Linked DNA regions of Coturnix japonica. The protein of the gene in region 1 interacts with the protein of each later gene in a pairwise test. Links are inferred from orthologs where the notes say so. Each region holds a gene or a part of one and is shown on either strand. Other genes may lie near its edges.

The links. The genes of interacting proteins can lie anywhere in the genome.
Region 2: the proteins of ZC2HC1A (region 1) and CASTOR1 interact in binary tests that used the Homo sapiens proteins (3 or more experiments, as listed by UniProt). The two-hybrid records come from large-scale screens. The link is inferred for Coturnix japonica from reciprocal best matches to the Homo sapiens genes ZC2HC1A and CASTOR1.

Annotation. Positions count from the first base shown.
Region 1 is NC_029517.1:109,106,239-109,110,146, forward strand, and holds part of ZC2HC1A (zinc finger C2HC domain-containing protein 1A), read left to right. Parts: intron 1-570; coding exon 571-693; intron 694-3,501; coding exon 3,502-3,609; intron 3,610-3,908.
Region 2 is NC_029530.1:9,679,135-9,683,524, forward strand, and holds the start of CASTOR1 (cytosolic arginine sensor for mTORC1 subunit 1), read left to right. Parts: upstream 1-1,217; 5' UTR 1,218-1,298; coding exon 1,299-1,411; intron 1,412-1,492; coding exon 1,493-1,563; intron 1,564-3,228; coding exon 3,229-3,422; intron 3,423-3,520; coding exon 3,521-3,653; intron 3,654-3,849; coding exon 3,850-3,973; intron 3,974-4,351; coding exon 4,352-4,390. UniProt on the Homo sapiens protein: Functions as an intracellular arginine sensor within the amino acid-sensing branch of the TORC1 signaling pathway. As a homodimer or a heterodimer with CASTOR2, binds and inhibits the GATOR subcomplex GATOR2 and thereby mTORC1.

The DNA of each region.
Region 1 (3,908 bases):
AACAAACTTATTCTTCTTTCAGTCTTTCTTTTGGTTTGTTGTTTTTTTTTTTTCCTTATTTCTTCTCATATAACCTTCAGAGCTTTAATTTAAGAAAATAAAATGGTGTGGGGGGGGGAAACAGTTTTTCTTTCCTACTAATCCAAAAGCCTTATACTTGCATCTTTTGTTTTCTAACATCTTCATGCAGTTGGCTTGAGTTGTAAATAGGAACCTTGTTTTCTAGATGGGGATGAATTTGTTGTTATAAAAAGGATTCTTATGAGAAAAAAGCCCAAGTGTGAGTGTATTATGTAAACTATAAATATAACTAGCAATAATTTTATCTTTTTCTTTTTTTTAATATGTGCATTGGAATTTTAATTCAGTTATAAGCCTACCAAATTACCCCCTTTTTAAAGTAAGAACTCCCTTCCTGTTTGCTGGATTTGTGTCAGATAAATGTCTTTTTGGTAAATAAGAATTCTATGAGAATATAGATATGTAATTGCAAGTACTTTTTTCTTTTTTTTTAATAACTTAAATAGCAATCTGACAATCTCCTTATGAGTACCACTTTATATATTTTAGTAGTAAGATGGACAAGTTAGGCCCACCACTGCGAACTGGAAGAGATGTGCAAAGGTTTTATGACACTGATACAAAAACAGACAGTACCATCAAAAGACCAAATGAATTGTTGCCTATCAAGAAGTAAGTATTGCAAATGAGCTTGGTTTGTCAGTTGTACAGAAATGTTCCTCAAAAGCATTGGAATATTAGAAGTGTGGCCTTGATAGATATCTGCTTCCCAGTACATTTTCATTATAAATGTTGTGGGAATATAACTAATGTAAGTATTTCTTTCACATTAGGCAAATTGCATCATGGTAGGAATGGAAAGGTGATGAAAATGTTCTTCAGGTTTGATTTCTTCTGTCATTGATTCTGCACTCAGAGTAATGTGCCCTGTAAAGCTGAGATAAAACTGAAATGATATGATGCAAAGCTTAAGCATTTAAACCTGTAGAACAGCTGATAACTTTATGATTGCCTTGCACACAAATACTTTATGGCAAAGGAATTTTATTATGCTCTTGAAGTCAAATATTTCCTCCTTCTCCTTCCGTAAGATAGCTGTAATTATCCAGGAGTATAAGTAAGATTTTATGTTGAAAGATTTACATCAAGGCTGCTTTGCAAGAAAATATGTTCTGTCTTTTAAAAAGGAAATAATTATATGATGTTAACACTGTAATAAAATTTGACATCTTCCAAATTACAATGGACTGTTTTTTTCATAAATACCTCAAAGCTTATTACAGAAGAGTAATTAGTAACGAATTACGTAGGCCATATTGGGCATAAACATGTTTAAATCTTGCAGTGTTGTTTTAGTGTTGTAACCAAAGCTGAAATATACTGGCTTTATCCTAAAAATATTTCAACTTCGGATCCTAGTAAGAAGCAAAAGGATAAAAGGGGAGGGGAAGATGATGAAGAATCTGTGACCGTGCTGGAAGACATCTGTCTCTGTAGATCAGATTGCACCGTGCAGATTCAGTTTCAAAACTGGTTATCATATGTTTGTTAAATCTGATTCTAGTTTTAGTGCCTTGATGAGGGGAGCATGAAATTACAGACAGTGGCAGCCTACTACTTCTGCTGTTGATTTACTCATGAAAATGTAGAAGTCAAGACTGAGAATATATCTGAGGGGATTTTTTTGCCATGTTTTTCAGTACTTTGCTTTTTGGGGGTTTTTTTTTGGTTTTTTTTTTTCTGTTTTTATCAGTAGCTTGTATGCCATACTGGGCACCATTCAGATGATGGTTTTAAGATGATGAAAATCTGTGGGGGGTGGAAAAAGAAAGCTGTGACTTATTGATAGATTAGAAGAATTTGGTTTAAAGTATCTAGCATTGCCTAAACAGGAACTGGGACACAGTTCTATTCATTCTTTCATCATCATTGATCCCCAGTCCACTGTTTCTATTACTTCAGCTGAATTATTCTTAATATACTTTCCTAGCTTTCAGAGCGAGTAAAAGTCCAGTATGTGTTTCCTGCACAACTAAGCTTTACTGAATTTTACTTACATTTAAGGGAAGGTCTGTTTCCAATGTTAAGTGAGATAGAGAAGATAACATATGCTAGCTTTTACAACCTGTACAGTTGTGCATACTTGTAACAGCATAATTTGAATTGGTTAAAACTTTTATCCTAGAAGTCTGAAAAACTGATATAACTTAGGTTTTAATTCTGATATAAAATTATGTAGAAATTATGTAGTGCCTTTCAATCTGCACTTTTTTTTTTTTTAATTAAAACATCCTTAGAATTTCTTCGTAAGTAAGAGAGCAGTCAGGAAAATTAAAGGAGAAAAAGCTGGTATTCTGCCCAGTGTGCCAGAATCTCCAACAATTCCATTATGCCTGTTGAATGCAGAAGCCATTCCTGTTAAATTTGAATGTTCTATCCAAATACAGTTTCACTTGATTCAATCTTAAATTTTGTTCACTTGTGTCAGTGCCGTATTTTATCTTTTTTTCTTCATTTATACTTGGAAAACCATAACCAAGAGTATGTTGTCTGTAATTCTGAAAAGAGCAGATAGGCTCATCTGGAAAAAATCATTGTTGGATATTTTTCTTACTGATCAGGCTCTTGGTGACTAAATTTGGATATTTTTCTTACTGATCAGGCTCTTGGTGACTAAATTTGGATATTTTTCTTACTGATCAGGCTCTTGGTGACTAAATTTTATGTGAGATGTTGTATTAATATTTCTTAATATCCATAAGCCTGTCCCAATTTTAATTTATTCGTCAGCATTCAAGAATGAGAACAGAAAAACTTGGTTGGTCATGTGCAAGATATCATAGTCACTAAGTCCTTGCCAAGGAAGAAATCCTGATGAATAGAAATTTTCTTGAGCAATGAAGAAAAATTCTGTCCCTGATCACTGATGAAAAAAGGATGTTCCTTCCCATTTTTTTTTTATTTTTTATTTTTTTTTCCCTTTATGCTGCAGAGTTTTTTTCTAGGGAATTCTGAAGTTTTTACCACTCACCAAAGCAAGCACAGACATGTTTGGTGCATTTAGGGTGTGCACTGGAGTTTAGAAATTGTATACTGATGCTAATAAGAGTCACCAGTTCATTGTGACCTGCGGACTGCTGCTTTCTATTTCCCTGAAATCCCTGCCAATACTATAAAATGACTTAGAGTCTGTCAAGGAAGACCACAGAATATACTAAGTGATCAATAGAGTGGGTTCTACTTATGGCTATCATGTCAAAATGCAAGCCATCATTTAGCTTGCAGTACAGGATTACATTTATATGCAATCCAAAGCAAGCAAGTTTGTGGCAAAGATTTTTCTGTCTGGTGTTCATAGGAAATAAGTTATTAATAATACAGTAAAGTGATGGATGGATTGTTGAACTAATTTTGGTATGTAACACATAATCTATTCTTGTGTGTGTGTATATAATTAATTGATAACTTTTTCTGTTTTAGAGGTGCAACAAAATCACGGATGTCAACCCCTCCTAGTGTGGCAAGAACTATGAGCACAGGTGCTCTATCAAACAAAAGAAAACCTAATAATTCGGACAGTTACTCAAGGTAGCTTTTAGTTTTGTTATTTTTTCAGAAATAGAATCTTCATTCAAGGGTAGTAACCATTGCAGAATAAGTTGGGGAAAATATTGTTCTCTGCAGTTAATAGATAACTCATCGTTAATTTCACTTGTCCTGTTTTAAGTTACTCAGAATTTATTTTCCGTACTCTAATACATCAGCATTGTCATCTGGTGTCTAAGATGTGCAGGGGATAACGTTAGAAATGTCAAAAACCTCTTAGGAACAGTTGAACATTTGGGTGAATGGTCTTTTCAATAACATGTGGCTCAACATACATTAAA
Region 2 (4,390 bases), on another chromosome or scaffold:
CCCCACGTCCCCTGCAACCCTCCCCCCATCCCCTGCCCACCCCATGCTGTTGGGGCAAACCCAGACCCAGCTCCCCATTGTTTGGGGCTGGGGGTACGTGAGGAGTTGGGAGCAGCCTCTGCTCCCCACCCCCCCCTCTTTATCTAGTGAGGATGTATCAAGCTGTAGCCCAATATGTAGTATGAATTTACCTATTCACTGAGCCTATTTATTATTCCTCCATGGCAGTAACTCTTGCAGGCCGGGGGCCGAGGTTGGGAACTGCAGGCGGGACGCACCGGAGGCAGCAGGATTGGATGGCAGACCCCGTGCCCTGCAGGGCCGAGGTGAGCCGGGGCTGGGGGTGCTGCCTGCTGCGGGGTCCCCTCTCTTCCCCCCTACCCTGCGTCGTGGGCAGGGGGAGGCTTTGTAAAATACAGCGGGGCAACGTGGTTTTGTACAAAGGGGAAATAAAGCAGGATTGTGTAAAGGCGCAGCGTGTGCGGCTCCGTGGGTTCAACGTCTCTTTGGGTGCCGTGGCGGGGGACAGGGGTGCTCCATCCCCTCCATCCCCTCCATGCTGTTGCTCACACTTGCTGTGTGCACGCAGTGTGGTTTGGGGCCTCCCTTCCCTGCCTGGTGGTGGCTGCGGGGTCAGAGGTGGCATCACTCAGTGGCAGCATCCCTATAACTGCGGGGGAACTTCTCTCGTGCATCCCACCTGATGATGTGCGACCGTCCTTTATCCCACCCCGGTGTCCTGCAGCGTCCTGTAAAGGGGTTCATTGGGGACACAGCAGGGAGGTGACCGCCTCGCTGCCCCTCCCAGCCCCGGGGCCCAACGCTGTTTGAAGCGCAGATGAGAGACGCCGAGCTGTGCTGACGCACCTGGAGGTCACCTCCAGCCCCGGGGCAGCTCGGCCGGCTGCCCATCTCGCAGCAGAACCGGGAGCAGCTCCGCTCCCCCCCCCCGCAGCCTCCGTTCTCTGCTTTCCACGTACAAAATGGTGCTCCCTGCAGGCAGGAATGGTGCAAGAACTTCCATCCCCCCTTCCCCAAATCCCTCTGCCCACGAAGCGGCTGCGGGGCAGAACCCTGGTTCCCGCACACCTCCCCTCCCGTGAACTCAGCGGATCCCGACCCCCCCCCCTACCCCGACTTGGATGGATACGGGCCGAGAGCGCCCCAACGCGTTACGGGACGGGGCGGGGCGGGCGGGTGCCCCTCCCGCAGCCCGGGGCGGTGCCGGGACGGGGCGGTCCGGTCCCGTTGGGCCCTTATAGCCCCACGGAGCCCCGTCCCGTCGCGGCGCGGCCGCCATGGACCTGCACATCCTGGAGCACCGCGTGCGGGTGCTGTCCCTGGCGCGCCGCGGGCTGTGGCTCTACACCCACCCGCTGCTCAAACTGCTCTTCCTGCCGCAGCGCTGCAGGTACCGATCCCCTTCCTCACCCCCCCCTCCCTCCTCCTCCTCCTCCTCTCGGTCCCACCGCACCGCGTTGTGTCCCGGCAGGTGTAAGTTCTTCAGCCTGACCGAGACCCCCGAGGATTACACCATCATGCTGGACGAGGAGGGCTTCAAAGGTACCGACACTGCGGCCATGAGTTGTGGCCGGCCTCAGCCCGGCGATGCTCGGAGCTGTGCGGTCAGCGGCCGGCAGGGAACTGCCCTGCTCAGGTTCTCCCTGTTTGGCAGCTCCGGTGCTGCCTAAAGCCACGGGGACGCGGCTGAGCCTCCGCAATGGGACGGGGCGGGGAGTGGGAGTGCTGCCCTTCCCCGCATCCCGCTGCCGGGCCGTGCTGAGGGTCTTTGAGTCCCTGTCCCTGGAAGGTGGCACCGGGTGACATCGCTGTGTAGTGACGCTCTGTGTGCAGCCCTGCTGTGGAGTCTGACCCCACGGGCTGTGCTGGGGGTCAATCCTGACCCCATCCTCTGCTCCAGACCCCCCCCCCCCGGCCGGGCTGTATCTCCTGCTCACGCCCTGAGGACCAAAGGTCAGTGGCTCGGCCGCAATGCGACGCTCCCACCCGGCTGCAGCCCAGCTCCCCACCGCTGCCCGGAGGAACCGGGGCCGATCCCCACGCATTGTTTTATTCGGGACCTTTTGGACATAATGCTCCTCGATCCCGAGGGGCGGGCGGGAAGCGGCAAACAATGGCTGTGAGGCGCTGCACGGCGCCGGGCTGGGGGGCTGCCAGCACCCCCAGGCACCCCATGGGGCCGCGCTGCACCCCCGGGTTACAATTCACGGCTCTGGGGCCGGGTGAGGCTCTGGGGCCCGCTGCTCCCCAAGGCACGGGGACATCTGGGGGCACCCATATGATCGCAGCCCCCCTTGCAGCCCACGGGTGTTGAAAAGCCATTAAGTGGGGACGCGGCACCGCGGTCCCCGTCCCCGGGAAGGCTTCCTGTGCAGGAACAAGCAGCTGCCAGCACCCTGCGCTTGGGACCTTCACATCTGGCCTCGCTCCTCCCTCATCGCTGCAGTGAGCGGGGTGGTCTCAGCCTGTTACTGAATGGCTGCTGCTGAGCAGCGGGCAGTGAGGTCTGGGGGTGCCCACCCGGAGATATTGGGTGCCGAAGGAACAACGTGGCCCCGATCCGTTCCTTCCTGGGGAGCGGGCGTGGGGCAGGAAGGAACCGGCCGGCACACTCATTCCCTGCCAACAACAGCAGCTTTTTGGGAGGCAGCCCTGGTCTACTGCCAGCATGGGCTCAGCCTCAGGGATTACGGCTTGTCAGAGCCGGGCACGGTGTGAGGACATCCCACATCCCCTCCGGTGTGACACGGGAGGCAGAGGATGGGGTGGGAGATGTGCACAGCCCCGGGGTCTCAGTGTGCTGCACCCACTCGTGGCCAGCCCTGCAGGTGCAGGACGAGAGGCACATCCCAGATTGGAAGGTTTGCTCCCAGTATCAGCGCTCCCAGCCCTGTGTGTGGGGCTGCCCCTTGCTGCATGGGGACAGCACTGACTCATGTCCCTGTATGCTGGCATTCAGCATCCTGCAGTGCCATCAGAGCAGGGATGTACGCAGCGTTACACCCTGTGGTGCACGATGTCTTTGCTGCCTGCAGGCAGAGGGCAGCCACCCTCAGCATCCCCTCCTGCATCCCTTAGATCAAGCCATTGCCCCCTCCAGCACCCATAATAGACTGGGACCCACTGTCCCCTCTCAGCGGGGTCCCATTGGGGTTGGGGACACAGCACAGCCCCGTGTCATACCTCAGTTTTCCCTGTCCCACACAGAGCTGCCGCCCTCCGAGTTCATGCAGGTGGCAGACTCCACCTGGTTGGTGCTCAGCGTTGTCTCCAATGGCTGCGCTCCCTCTGGCTGCCAGGCCACCGGTGTCACCAAGATCGCCCGCTCCGTCATCGCGCCGCTGGCCGAGCACCACGTCTCGGTGCTGATGCTCTCCACCTACCAGACCGACTTCATCCTGGTGAGCTCAGTGGGGATGGTGCCATGGGGCTGAGTGGGAGATGGTGGGGACCCCATTGATCTTTGGGGACAGCCACGGTGATGCCGCGCCGCTGCCAGGTGCGGGAGCGGGACCTGCCTGTGGTCATTCATACCTTGGCCGGGGAGTTCGACATCTACAAGGAGGAGAACGGTGAATCCATCCCAGTCCCCTGTGATGATGCCAGCAATGGGTTCCTCAAGCCCAAGTCGGGTGAGCGTCACTTGATGTCCCCAAGGCCACCCCGTCCCCAGTGCCCAAGGGACGCTCCGTTGCAGACACCCCCCGTGCTTTGGGGACCCCTGCCTTTTTGGCACCCCAGGGGACGCCGCTGGCCCGGTGGCCACGTGGTGGCACTGCGGTGCTGTCCCCAAAGGCCCCGGTGACAATCGCTGCCTCTGCCCCGCAGCCCCCAGCCCCACGCTGCACCCCGTGCAGAGCCCCCAGAACCGCTTCTGCATCCTGACGGTGGCACCCGACACGCTGCCTGCCATCGCCACCATGCTCATCGATGTGCTCTTCTACTCCCACAGGTGAGTGACGGGGCTGGGGACATCGGTGTCACCCCTTTGGGTCTCACTCATTCATCCCCTTTTTGACCTCGGGGTGCACTTTGCTGACTTTTGGTCACCCTCGGTTGCTGCCGGTCCTGCTGCCACCTCTGTGGACAGGAGCCCTGGTGTCACCATATGGGGGGGACAAGCCATGCATTGCAGCCATGCAAAACAAAAGAGAAAAGGGTTTTTTATTGCAAATGGGGTGGGCACCCCCCCTGCAAACTCAGCTGCCCGAGTTTCCCAACCCTGTTCCCATCCTGAGGCACCCCTGGCTGACACCAGTGGCACCTTTGGAGCCGTCCCAATGACACCCTCCTCCTGATTTGGGGTCCCTGTGCCATCCTCTACCCGCAGCCCCCCCAAGGAACCCAGTGCTGCTGACCTCGACTCCAT